Linked DNA regions of Saccharomyces cerevisiae S288C. The protein of the gene in region 1 interacts with the protein of each later gene in a pairwise test. Each region holds a gene or a part of one and is shown in the gene's direction. Other genes may lie near its edges.

What was found.
Region 2: the proteins of RRP36 (region 1) and SGD1 interact in a two-hybrid assay, tested with the Saccharomyces cerevisiae proteins (2 studies listed by BioGRID).
Region 3: the proteins of RRP36 (region 1) and UTP20 interact in a two-hybrid assay, tested with the Saccharomyces cerevisiae proteins (one study listed by BioGRID).

Annotation. Positions count from the first base shown.
Region 1 is NC_001147.6:850,397-853,799, reverse strand, and holds RRP36 (rRNA-processing protein RRP36), read left to right. Parts: upstream 1-1,960; coding exon 1,961-2,863; downstream 2,864-3,403. Other genes in the region: YOR289W (uncharacterized protein), read right to left, coding at 1-443; protein disulfide isomerase MPD1, read left to right, coding at 723-1,679; thiosulfate sulfurtransferase RDL2, read right to left, coding at 3,071-3,403.
Region 2 is NC_001144.5:799,197-804,264, reverse strand, and holds SGD1 (Sgd1p), read left to right. Parts: upstream 1-1,868; coding exon 1,869-4,568; downstream 4,569-5,068. Other genes in the region: VRP1 (Vrp1p), read left to right, coding at 1-1,612; nucleoporin NUP2, read right to left, coding at 4,673-5,068. UniProt on the Saccharomyces cerevisiae protein: Involved in osmoregulatory glycerol response, probably through its interaction with PLC1 which regulates the expression of GDP1.
Region 3 is NC_001134.8:225,896-233,710, forward strand, and holds the start of UTP20 (Utp20p), read left to right. Parts: upstream 1-1,740; coding exon 1,741-7,815. UniProt on the Saccharomyces cerevisiae protein: Involved in nucleolar processing of pre-18S ribosomal RNA and ribosome assembly.

The DNA of each region.
Region 1 (3,403 bases):
CGAAAAATAGTTTTGAAGTTGCCTAAGATGTTGCAACTGCATTTCAGGTCCACCAATTCCCTTTTCTGGATCGGAGAAAATCTCCTATCCTCTAAAGCAGCAATCAAGGAATATTTCTCAATACCATGTGCAATCGGCATCTTAGCAAATGTACCGATACATCCTCTAAGTATATAATTCTCTTCGTTAGTGTCTATTGTGTGATGTTTATTGGACTTTTTCTTCCAAGTTATGAACAACGAAGTTTTCTCATTGTAATCTATTTTAAAGTCGGGGTATAGCCTTCTTCTAATATCTTCTAAAGAAAGGCTGCTCGATTTCCCCGGATTCAAGTGCGAATAAAGTTGATAAAATGCGTAAAACGCAAATGGCGATGAACCTTTAGGGCCTTCCATTGATATCTTTGCAAAAAAACTGGATTTTCGAAATAGCCTTAAAGCCATTACTATCGCACAAGCCAAAAACCATCTTTTCAAAGGATCTTATCTGGATACAAATTGACGCAAATTTCTCTTTATATTCCTCCTTTGTCGCCCAGTGTCATGTGCTTATCCCTTGAAAAAAGGGCCGTTGTTCGAGCCTTGCGAGGCGTATAAAAATTTGGTAAAAATTAAAATTGACACGTAAAAGTTAAATAACATGAAGAGAAATATCTTTTCGCAGTCATTTTCAACAGTAAGCATCCACTTAACACAATTAGGAGAGACAAAATTTGACATATAATGTTATTTCTTAATATTATTAAGCTCCTTTTGGGACTTTTTATTATGAATGAAGTAAAGGCGCAAAACTTTTACGATTCCGATCCTCATATATCAGAGTTAACGCCAAAAAGCTTCGATAAAGCGATCCATAACACAAATTACACATCATTAGTGGAATTTTATGCTCCGTGGTGCGGCCATTGTAAGAAGCTCTCTAGTACGTTCCGCAAGGCAGCAAAAAGATTGGATGGTGTAGTCCAAGTTGCTGCTGTAAACTGTGACCTTAACAAGAATAAGGCTTTGTGTGCTAAATACGACGTAAACGGATTTCCCACGTTAATGGTATTTAGGCCCCCAAAAATTGACCTATCTAAGCCAATAGATAACGCCAAAAAAAGTTTCAGCGCTCATGCCAATGAAGTGTACTCAGGTGCAAGAACTCTCGCGCCTATTGTTGATTTTTCTCTTTCAAGAATAAGGTCATATGTCAAAAAGTTTGTCCGTATAGATACACTTGGCTCTTTACTTAGAAAGTCACCCAAACTTTCCGTGGTGTTGTTTTCCAAACAAGACAAAATTTCACCGGTTTATAAAAGCATTGCCCTTGATTGGTTAGGAAAGTTCGATTTTTATTCAATTTCAAACAAAAAACTCAAGCAACTAACCGATATGAACCCAACATATGAAAAAACTCCTGAGATTTTCAAATATTTGCAGAAGGTCATTCCTGAACAGCGACAGAGCGATAAAAGTAAGCTTGTCGTTTTTGATGCAGACAAAGATAAATTTTGGGAGTATGAAGGGAACTCAATCAACAAAAATGACATTTCCAAATTTCTGCGGGACACTTTTAGTATTACCCCCAATGAGGGTCCTTTTAGTAGACGTTCTGAATATATTGCTTACTTAAAAACTGGCAAGAAGCCAATTAAAAAGAACCATTCCTCCTCAGGAAACAAGCACGACGAATTGTAGTGGTACGTTTCCTCATTCAATGATTATCTAATTAAACACAACATATGTATCTATATAGTCCACTAACTGATGGCATGGACGTTTACTTTTATTTGCAATAATAACTTTTATCTGAGCGGTTAAATACCGAAAGACACGTTTATTACCCGCTTTGAAAATTTTCAACCGATGAGCTTGCCTTTCTACCGGAAAACTGGGGCATAAGAATAAGTACTAAATAGTATAATTAAATTGCCATCCAAAAATTGTATAGAGGGTCAATAAGCACTAGAAGGTTAAAAATGTCGTATTACTTTAAAAATCTGAAGCCAGACTTGAACTCCGACGTAGAAGAAGATGACGGAAACTTATTGGAGAGCATAATGGCGAACAAAAGTAAGCGAGAAATTGACGAACAAGAATCAAGTGACGATGAGTTGAAAACCTTGTCTTTTGGTTCTTTGAAGAAGGCTGAAACGGTAATAGATGAAGAAGATTTCAAAGATACGAAACCCGTTCACAAAAAACCGATCACAACTACATACAGAGAAGAAAGTTTTGATGAAGATGAGGACAGTGAGGACCAATCAGACGAGGATGCTGGATTCTTTGAAGAAGATAGTGAGGATGAAACTCATCATGGTCAGAAAGTACCAAAAAAGAAGAGCAAACACGCTCCAGTAGAACAATCATCCAAGAAAAGGGTACCACGAGTCCGAAATATCCCTGGGCTGGAAATACCGAGGAATAAAAGGTCTAACCTCTATCAGGACATCAGATTTGATAAGTCCACCGGTAAAGCCCTTGATAGTTCTATCATAAGAAAACGTTACCAGTTCTTGGACGAATATAGAGAAAAAGAAATTGATGAACTGCAGAAGCTGTTACAAGAAAGAAAATTTCTATCAAAAATAGACCAGGGAGAACGTGAAGAAATGGAACAAAGACTGAAAAGTATGAAATCGAGATTGCAATCAATGAAAAACAAAGATCTCGAGCGTGAAATTCTCAAGGAATACGAAAATGATATGAATAAAAACAATAATACGAGATACCATTTGAAAAAGTCTGAGAAACGTAAAGTGGTGCAAAAGTGGAAATTTGATCACATGAAGGCCAAGCAACGTGAAAAGGTCATGGAAAGGAAAAGGAAGAAGAGATTGGGTAAAGAGTTTAAACAATTTGAATTTCATAATCGTAGGTAGAGTATTTAAGCAAAAGAATGCACATTAAAGTAATATATAGAGAAAGATAAAAAAATAAACGCACACATAAACTAATGGAAGTAAGAGGTTATCCGCGAACCACAAGGAGAAAATCGAATGAATCGGAGAGGTGACAACAAAAAATTTGAAATACACAAAAGGTTGTCTATATACAGGATATATCGATTATACTTGTTTCTTTTTGGCTTATTTTTTGGGCTTAACGTCAGCACCACCTTTAGCTAACCACTCAGTAATAGAACCAGGATAGATACCAGTGTTTTCGTACCCATAAGATCGAGCCAACTCTTCGGCAGTTTTGGCTCTTACTCCTTTCGCACAAAGAAAAATCAATTCTTTATCGTGAGGTGGTTTAGCAAATTGGAAAACTTTGTGAAACTCCTTTTCGGGCAATCCAAGAGCGCCAGGGGCACTATTCACCGGAATATTTATTGTAGTTGGCATCTTGTAATCCTTTACTTCCTTGGGTTCCCTTACATCTACCAATAGTTTTTTATCATTGGGGTGTTCGACTAGGTT
Region 2 (5,068 bases), on another chromosome or scaffold:
CAGGAGGTCTGAACGAGGAGCCGTCGAGGGCGTTTCTTCCACAAAGATTCAAACCGAAAATCATAAATCTCCTTCACAACCACCACTTCCATCATCTGCTCCGCCCATTCCTACATCACATGCTCCGCCATTACCGCCTACTGCACCACCTCCACCATCGTTACCAAATGTGACCTCTGCACCTAAAAAAGCAACTTCAGCTCCAGCTCCGCCTCCACCACCACTACCAGCAGCCATGAGCTCTGCGTCGACTAACAGCGTAAAAGCAACCCCGGTTCCCCCAACTTTAGCACCACCGTTACCAAATACTACATCAGTTCCTCCTAACAAAGCATCGTCAATGCCCGCGCCACCACCTCCTCCTCCCCCACCACCTGGTGCTTTTTCAACATCCTCTGCCTTGTCAGCATCATCTATTCCTTTAGCACCACTACCACCTCCTCCTCCTCCTTCGGTTGCAACGTCAGTACCATCGGCTCCTCCTCCTCCTCCAACACTCACGACAAACAAACCCTCAGCGTCCAGTAAGCAATCCAAAATATCTTCATCCAGTTCTTCCTCGGCCGTAACACCTGGGGGACCCTTACCATTTCTTGCTGAGATCCAAAAGAAGAGAGATGATAGATTCGTGGTTGGTGGTGATACTGGATACACTACCCAAGATAAACAAGAGGATGTAATAGGTTCATCTAAGGATGATAACGTAAGACCTTCTCCTATTTCTCCATCTATAAACCCGCCTAAACAGAGTAGCCAAAATGGTATGTCGTTTCTGGATGAAATTGAATCCAAATTACATAAGCAAACATCATCGAATGCTTTTAACGCACCACCCCCCCATACGGATGCTATGGCGCCTCCTTTGCCTCCTAGTGCACCTCCTCCTCCTATAACATCGCTACCGACTCCAACTGCATCAGGTGATGACCACACCAATGATAAGAGTGAGACTGTGTTAGGGATGAAAAAAGCAAAGGCCCCTGCACTGCCTGGACACGTTCCACCTCCACCAGTTCCACCAGTTTTATCAGATGATAGCAAGAATAATGTCCCCGCCGCTTCTTTATTACACGATGTTCTTCCCTCCTCGAATCTCGAAAAACCTCCTTCTCCTCCTGTTGCAGCTGCTCCGCCATTGCCAACATTTAGTGCACCAAGTCTGCCTCAGCAATCCGTGTCTACATCAATACCATCACCTCCTCCTGTTGCGCCTACACTTTCCGTTCGTACCGAAACTGAATCAATTTCGAAGAACCCCACTAAGTCGCCACCCCCACCACCAAGTCCATCTACGATGGATACCGGTACCTCTAATAGCCCCAGTAAAAACCTTAAACAACGGTTATTTTCTACAGGTGGATCGACGCTGCAACACAAGCATAATACGCATACAAATCAACCAGATGTTGATGTAGGTAGGTATACGATAGGGGGATCGAATTCTATCGTTGGGGCCAAATCTGGAAATGAAAGAATTGTTATAGATGATTCAAGATTTAAATGGACTAATGTGTCACAAATGCCTAAGCCACGTCCCTTTCAAAATAAAACAAAACTGTATCCAAGTGGAAAGGGTAGTAGTGTGCCATTGGACTTAACATTATTTACGTGAGCATTTCTCCATGGTTACAATAAATCACTGAAGAACAAGAAAATAATAATATTTTATAAAAATATTTTACTAAATTACATATGGTATCTGCAATATTTATTTTTTAATCTTTTAGCTTCCCGTCCTTTTCGCTGTGAAAAATATAAAATCCAGCAAAAAAAAAAAAATGCGATGAGCTTACAAGACTACTGAACTTACTTACGAAGCCTCATCTTAACTAAAGATAGCCAGTCCACAGCTGCAGAATATTGAGGCAATGCAAAAAACAGATGGTATTAGAATTCCAGGCGTTATTTTGGACGAGTTGAAGACTCTTGACTACAGTCAAGATGAAAGGTTTTCTATTTCAGAAGGAAAAAAGAGAAGACGAGGAAATGGCAAACATTTAAGCCGTAAAGAAAAGAGAAAGATGGAACGGGCCGACAAGAAACGTAAAATTATATCAACTAGAGAAATCAATTCCAGCCGGCTAAAATCAGCACCAACGTCCGAAAAGAGGAGTGCTAATGCAGGTGTGAAAAACGTAGGCAAGCAGGCTAACGGTAAAAATCCGATTTCTTCAGATGAATCAGAAAGTAATGAAAACTGGGATAGTGACGAAGTGCTTACTGATGAAGTAGCAGAAGAAAGCGGTGAGCAGGCAATGTCTGCGGAAGAAACAATGAAAAAACTAGAATCATTGAAACGGAAAGCAAAGGGTATACAAGGAGCTGAAAACTCGGGAGAAATAAAAGGTAACTCATATGAAAAGAAACATATTCGTAACAGAGATACAAATGAGAATTTTGTGAGTTATCCGCTGGCCCCTTCAGACAGATCAGCGTTTGAAAGGGACGAGATGGACATGCAATATTACGCAAAAAAGTTGGGCTTGAAAGGAGAAAGGAAGGCTATACATGCAAAAGATGAATTTGATGCTATTGGTGGACTTCTTGAAGGTTTGGAATACTTTGAAAATTATGGCAAAAGTGACGAAGAGTATGGAGATTTTGCCACAGAAACTAATTCTATGAGAAAAGATGATGAAGCAAGCGAGAAAGCATTTTCCTCGGATGATGATCTTTCAGCTTCTGATTTTGAAGACTCAGATGGGCTTAGTGAATCTGATAACGACAGCGTTGCGGACTCGGATGATAATTATAGAAGAGAAAAGGAAAATCCCTATGTAGCTCCCACACAATCTGTAGAGAGCTATGTTCCCCCATCACTGAGAAAGAAATTGGATGATAGTGAAAACAATAGTACTTTGTCTGAAATTAGCAAGAAGGTCAACTCCTCTTTGAATAAGCTTTCAGACTCCAATATTACTATTATTATCACTGATTTAAACAGATTGTATGATTCCCTGCCTAGGCAGTACGTTACAGAATCGTTAACGAAAGGGATATTGAATATTATAAGCCAAAATCAGAAGTTGTTGGACGGATTTATAATGAATTATGCTGCTCTTGCGTATACATTATCAAAACTAAGAGGTATTGAGGTGGGTGCTTTTTTCATTCAAAAAACGGTAGAGGCATTTCTGCATCATTACGAAGAGGAAATGGAAAATATATTAAAGGATCAGCAGAGCAAAATTTCCTCTAAAATATGCATCAATATTGCAACCTTACTATCGTATTGTTATAATTTTGGATTTGTTTCGTGTCGCTTAATCTATGACATTATTCGAATATTTGTAGCAGATCCTAATGAATTCACTACTGAGTTACTTTTACGAATTATATCGATTTCAGGACAACTGATCCGGGGTGATGATCCATCCGCCCTGAGAGATATACGATCAGAACTGTTGAAGAACGCCAAGAATTTAAAAGAGCAGAGCCCAAGATTGAGATTTTTAATGGATACCATGTCTGACTTGAAAAACAACAGGTTAAAGCCTTCTATTTTGGCGACTGATCATCATCCATTAAAGAAAAACTTGCAAAGCATTTTGAATTCTTCTTCTTCTTGGGAGCCTTTACAGGTTTCTCTGGAAGACATTAAAAACATTGATTCCAAGGGGAAATGGTGGCTGGTTGGTGCTTCTTGGCGAGGAAACATGGAAAATGCTTTTGAAGTTTCGATCAATAATGAAAATGATGCCAGCAAGTCCAAGAAATCTAAAATTTCAATCGAGGATGATCTTCTTGATGATATTCCAGATTGGAATATTATCGCCAGACAACAGCGTATGAATACTGACATTCGAAGGGCTATATTTATAAGTATTATGTCTGCACAAGATTACCTGGATGCATTTAGTAAACTTGAAAAGTTAAGCTTGAAAAATAAGCAAGTTCTTGAAATTCCAAGAATTGTTTTACATTGTCTTTTGGCTGATAGTGGATCCAATGGTTATAATCATTACTACGCATTGGTCGCGAACAAAATATGTGAAAGGTATAGCCATTTATCGAAGTCGTTTCAATTCCTATTCTGGGATGTGATAAAAAAATTTGAAGACAAAGAATTCGATTCTGAAAGCGATACTGACGAAGAAGATGATTTAGATGATAAAGAAAAACTGCTTCGCATCTCAAATCAGGGGAGATTTTTTGGATCGTTGCTTGCTAATGACATTTTGAAATTAGATGTTTTCAAGCATGTTCCATTTATGGGTGGATTAAACACAGAAGGGATGTTATTTATGGAGATATTGCTATTTCAGTTATTTTTAACTGTAGCTAAAAAAAGTGAGAAGAAACTCAAGATGGATGAAAGTGGAAATAAGCGTATAATCTACTCCGATGATTATTTGCGCGATGTTTTAACGAAGAACGTTAAATCGGAAAATATGCTATTCATTCTCAAAGGTTTGAAGTGGTTTATTAACAAGAAATTTAGATACCATAATTTCCTTGCAGGAAAGAAAGGAGATAAAGCTTTTGATAGGGATGAAAGAAGATTGGCTTGGGCTTCAAAAGCTGCCAAATCTATTATAGACAAAGAACTGGAAAATATAGATTCGTAGTGTTTTTTGGAATAAATTTTGTATTCTTTATTTGCTCAACTATAACCTTGAGCTACAAAATATGAGGGTTCTATTCTATTTAAAATTGTTAACTGTATTTACTCTTATTTCATTTCTTTTTTAGCATCTTCAATAGCTTTCGTAAATGAGCGGCCTTCTTCCTTCTGCTTAAACTTGACGATATAAGTTACAAGTTTCCCATCAGCCGCAACAGTAGGAGCTTTAATGAGATTATCATTTCCGGGAGCTAAAGGCTCATATTTGAAGGAGTCTACAACAGTTGCATTTAGTAATACATTACCCATACCGTCAGACCTACAAAGTAGGCGCACTTTAGAAGGATCGTCCTTTTTCTTCAAAAGCTTCATTTCGCCTACGCCTCTTGAATCGTACGATTTGGTTTCAGCATTGAATGTCATTAATTTTGCTTTTTGCGAAAATAAAGCCACTTCGTCTTCCTCACCGTTTTGCAAGTTTATTGGCTTTGATTCTTCTGGGGT
Region 3 (7,815 bases), on another chromosome or scaffold:
AGAGCTAGAAGAAGATGATTACAAAATGAAGGTACATGAAATGCAAAAGCTGATAGGTCTAGCATCATATGTTGGATATAAATTTAGATTTGACCTATTATACTACATCAACACACTTGCACAACATATACTATTTCCGTCCAAGCAAGTGTTAGATATGACATATGAATTGATACAGTTCATATGGAATACGAGAGATAAGCAATTAATATGGCACAAAAGCAAACCTGTTAAGCCAACAAATAAATTAGTTGTTATAAGCGATGCCTCGTATGGTAACCAACCGTATTATAAATCACAAATTGGCAACATATATTTACTTAATGGAAAAGTAATTGGAGGAAAGTCCACCAAGGCTTCATTAACATGTACTTCAACCACGGAAGCAGAAATACACGCAATAAGTGAATCTGTCCCATTATTAAATAATCTAAGTTACCTGATACAAGAACTCGACAAGAAACCAATTACCAAAGGATTACTAACCGACAGTAAATCTACAATCAGTATAATTATATCCAATAATGAAGAGAAATTTAGAAACAGATTTTTTGGTACTAAAGCAATGAGACTGAGAGATGAAGTATCAGGAAATCATCTGCACGTATGCTATATCGAAACCAAAAAGAATATTGCAGACGTAATGACCAAACCTCTTCCGATAAAAACATTCAAACTATTAACAAACAAATGGATTCATTAGATCTATTACATTATGGGTGGTATGTTGGAATAAAAATCCACTATCGTCTATCAACTAATAGTTATATTATCAATATATTATCATATACGGTGTTAAGATGATGACATAAGTTATGAGAAGCTGTCATCGAAGTTAGAGGAAGCTGAAGTGCAAGGATTGATAATGTAATAGGATAATGAAACATATAAAACGGAATGAGGAATAATCGTAATATTAGTATGTAGAAATATAGATTCCATTTTGAGGATTCCTATATCCTTGAGGAGAACTTCTAGTATATTCTGTATACCTAATATTATAGCCTTTATCAACAATGGAATCCCAACAATTATCTCAACATTCCCCCATTTCTCAGGAATCCCAACAGTTATGACAAAATTTATCAGAATTCCCAGTTTCATACATGTTTGATATTTATAGATAATTCATAATGACGGTTTATTTATTCTGGTAAGTTATGATATCATGTAAAACGAGGCAACTTGGCCGAGTGGTTAAGGCGAAAGATTAGAAATCTTTTGGGCTTTGCCCGCGCAGGTTCGAGTCCTGCAGTTGTCGTTATTTTTTGGACAGTAATAAGAGTACGTAAAGTCAATGGAATACGTGGTAAAAGCATCACGTTTATGTTTTATTAAAAGATTGGCATAGAACTTGGCCTTCTTCGTAACGACTTATCACCCGTTAAAAGTATGCTATATGAGTTATATCGGCTGCAGTGTATTTCTTCCTGGCTCATTTAAAGCTAATGAAATGTACCTCTCGCTTCATTTTCTAAGGTAGTGTTTTGAAGGCGTATGTATGTAATGTCACCCGGACTTTTGTAAAGAAAAAATTTTGAGTTTATGTCTTTCCGAAAATTTTTACCGATGAGCATTGAAAAGTTGCATTATTAAATTTGGTAGCGTAAAAACCACCGATTAAACAGGTAGTGTAGGTTGTAAATTAAAGATCATATTCTTTCCTGTTTACATCCAGTTTTACGTTGTTGGCCGTATTGGTATATTTCTAGTATCAGTTACACATATTTCATTGAAAGTATGGCTAAACAAAGACAAACTACTAAATCGTCTAAGCGATATAGATATTCTTCCTTCAAGGCTAGGATTGACGATTTGAAGATTGAACCGGCTAGAAATTTGGAAAAAAGGGTACATGATTATGTCGAGTCGTCGCATTTTCTCGCTTCCTTTGATCAGTGGAAAGAAATTAATTTAAGTGCCAAATTTACGGAGTTTGCAGCGGAAATTGAGCATGATGTTCAAACATTACCCCAAATACTATATCATGATAAAAAGATTTTTAATTCTTTGGTTTCATTCATTAACTTTCACGATGAGTTTTCTTTGCAACCGCTTCTGGACCTCTTGGCTCAATTTTGTCATGATTTAGGTCCAGATTTTCTTAAATTTTATGAAGAAGCTATCAAAACTTTAATAAATCTGTTAGACGCTGCTATAGAATTTGAGTCATCTAATGTTTTTGAGTGGGGTTTCAACTGTTTGGCTTATATTTTCAAGTATCTCTCGAAATTTTTGGTTAAAAAACTGGTACTCACATGTGATCTTTTAATTCCACTATTGTCTCATTCTAAGGAATATCTTTCAAGATTTTCAGCAGAAGCATTATCTTTTTTAGTAAGAAAGTGTCCTGTTTCTAACTTGCGCGAGTTTGTTAGATCAGTTTTTGAAAAGTTAGAGGGAGATGATGAGCAAACTAACCTCTACGAAGGGCTTCTGATATTATTCACAGAATCCATGACGTCAACGCAAGAAACTCTGCATTCGAAAGCTAAAGCTATCATGAGCGTTCTTTTGCATGAAGCTTTGACCAAATCATCCCCGGAAAGATCTGTTTCATTGCTCTCAGATATTTGGATGAACATTAGTAAGTACGCCTCAATCGAAAGTTTACTTCCAGTCTATGAAGTTATGTATCAGGATTTTAACGATTCTCTCGATGCCACCAATATCGATAGAATATTAAAAGTATTGACAACAATTGTCTTCTCGGAAAGTGGTAGAAAAATTCCTGATTGGAATAAAATTACTATCCTAATTGAAAGAATAATGAGTCAAAGTGAAAATTGTGCTTCGCTTTCACAGGATAAAGTGGCTTTCCTATTTGCTTTATTTATTCGTAACAGTGACGTGAAAACTTTAACATTATTCCACCAAAAACTTTTTAACTACGCTTTAACAAATATATCTGACTGTTTCCTTGAATTCTTTCAATTTGCTTTAAGGCTAAGCTATGAAAGAGTATTTTCATTCAATGGATTAAAATTCCTACAGTTATTTTTAAAGAAAAATTGGCAATCACAAGGAAAAAAAATTGCACTTTTTTTTCTAGAAGTAGATGATAAGCCTGAACTGCAGAAAGTACGGGAAGTAAATTTCCCAGAAGAATTTATTTTATCTATCAGAGATTTTTTTGTCACAGCAGAAATTAATGATTCGAATGACCTTTTCGAAATATATTGGCGAGCTATAATTTTTAAATATTCGAAATTACAGAATACAGAAATTATTATCCCATTGCTTGAACGTATCTTTTCAACTTTTGCATCACCAGATAATTTTACGAAAGATATGGTCGGTACACTCTTAAAAATATATCGTAAAGAAGACGACGCTTCAGGGAATAATCTATTAAAGACTATTCTGGATAATTACGAAAACTATAAAGAAAGTTTAAACTTTTTAAGAGGATGGAACAAGTTAGTGAGTAATCTTCATCCTTCAGAAAGCTTAAAAGGACTAATGTCACACTATCCAAGTCTACTCCTTAGCTTGACAGATAATTTTATGTTGCCTGATGGGAAGATTCGTTATGAAACTTTAGAATTAATGAAGACATTAATGATTTTGCAGGGTATGCAAGTACCTGACCTCCTTTCTTCATGTATGGTTATCGAGGAAATACCTCTTACACTACAAAATGCCAGAGATTTAACCATTAGAATCAAGAATGTTGGTGCCGAATTCGGAAAAACCAAAACAGACAAGCTAGTATCCTCTTTCTTTCTCAAATACTTATTTGGCCTTCTTACCGTTAGATTCTCTCCAGTTTGGACTGGTGTTTTTGACACTCTTCCTAATGTTTACACAAAAGATGAAGCCCTCGTTTGGAAACTTGTGCTATCATTCATTAAACTTCCTGATGAAAATCAAAATTTGGATTACTACCAGCCTCTTCTTGAAGATGGTGCAAACAAAGTTCTGTGGGATTCGAGTGTAGTGAGGTTAAGGGACACTATTGATACGTTCTCACATATTTGGTCAAAGTATTCTACTCAAAATACGAGCATTATATCTACTACTATTGAAAGAAGGGGGAACACCACCTACCCAATTTTAATTAGAAATCAGGCTCTAAAAGTTATGCTATCGATTCCTCAAGTTGCTGAAAATCACTTCGTCGACATCGCACCTTTTGTTTATAATGACTTCAAGACTTACAAAGATGAAGAGGATATGGAAAATGAACGTGTTATTACTGGTTCATGGACAGAAGTTGATAGAAACGTGTTTTTAAAGACTTTAAGCAAGTTCAAAAATATAAAGAATGTTTATAGTGCAACAGAATTGCACGATCATCTGATGGTACTGTTGGGTAGCCGTAATACAGACGTTCAGAAGCTTGCGTTGGACGCACTTCTTGCATACAAAAATCCAACGTTGAATAAATATAGAGATAATTTGAAAAATCTACTAGATGACACCTTATTCAAGGACGAGATTACGACTTTTTTAACCGAAAATGGGTCGCAGTCTATCAAGGCTGAGGACGAAAAGGTAGTCATGCCTTATGTCCTTAGAATTTTCTTCGGTCGAGCACAAGTCCCCCCAACTAGTGGACAGAAAAGAAGCCGCAAAATAGCTGTCATTTCAGTTTTGCCAAATTTTAAGAAGCCATATATTAATGATTTTTTGAGTTTGGCTAGTGAAAGGCTGGATTATAATTATTTTTTTGGGAACAGCCATCAAATAAATAGCTCAAAGGCTACCTTGAAAACTATCAGACGGATGACTGGTTTCGTTAACATTGTAAATTCTACTCTGTCTGTATTAAGAACAAATTTTCCTTTGCATACTAATTCAGTGCTGCAGCCGTTGATCTATTCAATTGCTATGGCATACTATGTCTTAGATACTGAGAGCACAGAGGAGGTACATTTAAGAAAGATGGCAAGTAATTTAAGGCAACAAGGTCTAAAATGTTTAAGTAGTGTCTTTGAATTTGTTGGAAATACATTTGATTGGTCTACTTCTATGGAAGATATTTACGCCGTTGTAGTTAAGCCTCGTATTTCACATTTTTCGGATGAAAACTTACAACAACCCTCCTCTTTACTAAGACTTTTCCTTTATTGGGCACACAATCCATCTCTGTACCAGTTTTTGTATTACGATGAATTTGCAACTGCCACTGCATTGATGGACACCATATCAAACCAACACGTTAAGGAAGCTGTTATTGGCCCAATAATTGAAGCGGCGGACTCAATTATTAGAAATCCAGTAAATGATGATCACTACGTAGATTTGGTGACTCTCATCTGCACATCATGTCTGAAAATACTTCCTTCGCTATATGTCAAACTTTCTGACTCAAACTCGATTTCCACATTTTTGAATTTGCTAGTTAGTATCACTGAGATGGGATTTATTCAAGATGATCATGTTAGAAGTCGTTTAATTAGTTCATTAATATCAATATTAAAAGGAAAGCTAAAAAAACTGCAGGAAAATGATACCCAAAAAATTTTGAAAATATTAAAGCTGATAGTTTTCAACTACAATTGTTCTTGGAGTGATATTGAAGAACTATACACTACCATATCTTCTTTGTTCAAAACATTTGACGAGCGAAACCTCAGGGTTTCCTTGACAGAGCTCTTCATAGAACTCGGTAGAAAAGTTCCTGAATTAGAAAGTATTTCGAAATTGGTTGCGGACTTGAATTCATACTCCTCATCACGTATGCATGAATATGATTTTCCTAGAATTTTATCAACTTTCAAGGGGTTAATTGAAGATGGTTATAAGTCCTACAGTGAGTTAGAGTGGTTACCTCTGTTGTTCACCTTTTTACATTTTATCAATAATAAGGAAGAACTTGCGTTAAGAACAAACGCATCCCACGCTATAATGAAGTTTATTGACTTCATTAACGAAAAGCCTAATCTTAATGAAGCTTCAAAATCGATTTCTATGCTGAAGGATATACTTTTACCCAATATAAGGATTGGCCTCAGAGACTCCCTAGAAGAGGTACAAAGTGAGTATGTATCAGTGCTATCATATATGGTAAAAAACACGAAATATTTCACCGACTTCGAAGATATGGCCATTTTACTGTACAATGGTGATGAAGAAGCAGATTTTTTTACAAACGTTAATCATATTCAGCTTCATCGTCGTCAGAGAGCCATTAAAAGACTAGGTGAACATGCTCATCAACTCAAAGATAACAGTATATCCCATTATTTAATTCCAATGATCGAACATTATGTCTTTTCGGATGATGAAAGATACAGAAATATTGGAAATGAGACCCAAATAGCCATCGGAGGGTTGGCGCAGCACATGAGTTGGAATCAATACAAAGCTCTTCTTAGAAGGTACATTTCTATGTTGAAAACCAAGCCTAACCAAATGAAGCAAGCCGTACAATTAATTGTTCAACTTTCTGTTCCACTTAGAGAAACTCTTCGTATCGTAAGAGATGGGGCTGAGTCGAAACTTACTTTGAGCAAATTTCCTTCCAACTTAGATGAACCCAGTAATTTTATTAAGCAAGAATTGTATCCGACTCTTTCGAAAATTCTTGGCACTAGAGATGACGAAACTATAATTGAAAGAATGCCTATTGCGGAGGCATTAGTTAATATTGTTTTAGGGCTCACAAATGATGATATTACTAATTTCCTCCCTAGTATTCTAACAAATATTTGCCAAGTTTTGAGAAGTAAATCCGAAGAATTAAGAGATGCAGTAAGAGTAACCTTGGGTAAAATCAGTATTATCTTGGGCGCTGAGTATCTTGTCTTTGTGATAAAGGAATTAATGGCTACATTAAAACGTGGTTCTCAAATTCATGTGTTAAGTTACACTGTCCACTACATATTAAAGAGTATGCACGGAGTCTTAAAACACTCCGATTTGGATACCTCGTCCAGTATGATTGTTAAGATTATAATGGAAAATATCTTTGGGTTCGCTGGTGAAGAAAAAGACTCTGAGAATTATCATACAAAAGTGAAAGAAATTAAGAGTAATAAAAGCTATGATGCTGGTGAAATTCTCGCCTCAAACATCAGCCTGACAGAATTTGGAACATTACTCTCTCCTGTGAAGGCTTTGTTGATGGTCAGAATTAATCTAAGAAATCAAAACAAACTGAGTGAATTATTGAGACGATATTTGTTGGGTTTAAATCATAATAGTGACTCTGAGTCAGAAAGTATCCTCAAGTTCTGCCATCAGCTTTTCCAGGAATCAGAAATGAGTAATTCCCCTCAAATACCAAAGAAAAAAGTGAAAGACCAAGTAGATGAAAAAGAAGACTTTTTCTTGGTAAATTTGGAGTCGAAATCTTATACCATCAACTCAAACAGTTTGCTTTTGAACAGCACTTTACAAAAATTTGCTTTAGACTTACTTAGGAACGTAATAACGAGACACCGCTCCTTTTTAACTGTCTCGCACCTAGAGGGTTTTATTCCATTTTTGAGAGATTCGTTACTTTCGGAAAATGAAGGTGTGGTAATTAGTACTTTACGTATCCTGATTACATTAATTAGGCTAGATTTTTCCGATGAATCTAGTGAAATCTTCAAAAACTGTGCGAGGAAGGTACTAAATATTATCAAGGTTTCTCCTTCAACTTCAAGCGAATTATGCCAAATGGGTTTAAAGTTTCTTTCTGCCTTTATACGTCACACAGATTCAACATTAAAGGATACTGCTTTGAGTTATGTTCTAGGGAGGGTCTTACCAGATTTAAATGAACCAAGCAGACAAGGCCTTGCTTTTAATTTCCTAAAAGCACTTGTTTCAAAACATATCATGCTTCCAGAACTCTATGACATTGCGGATACTACTAGGGAA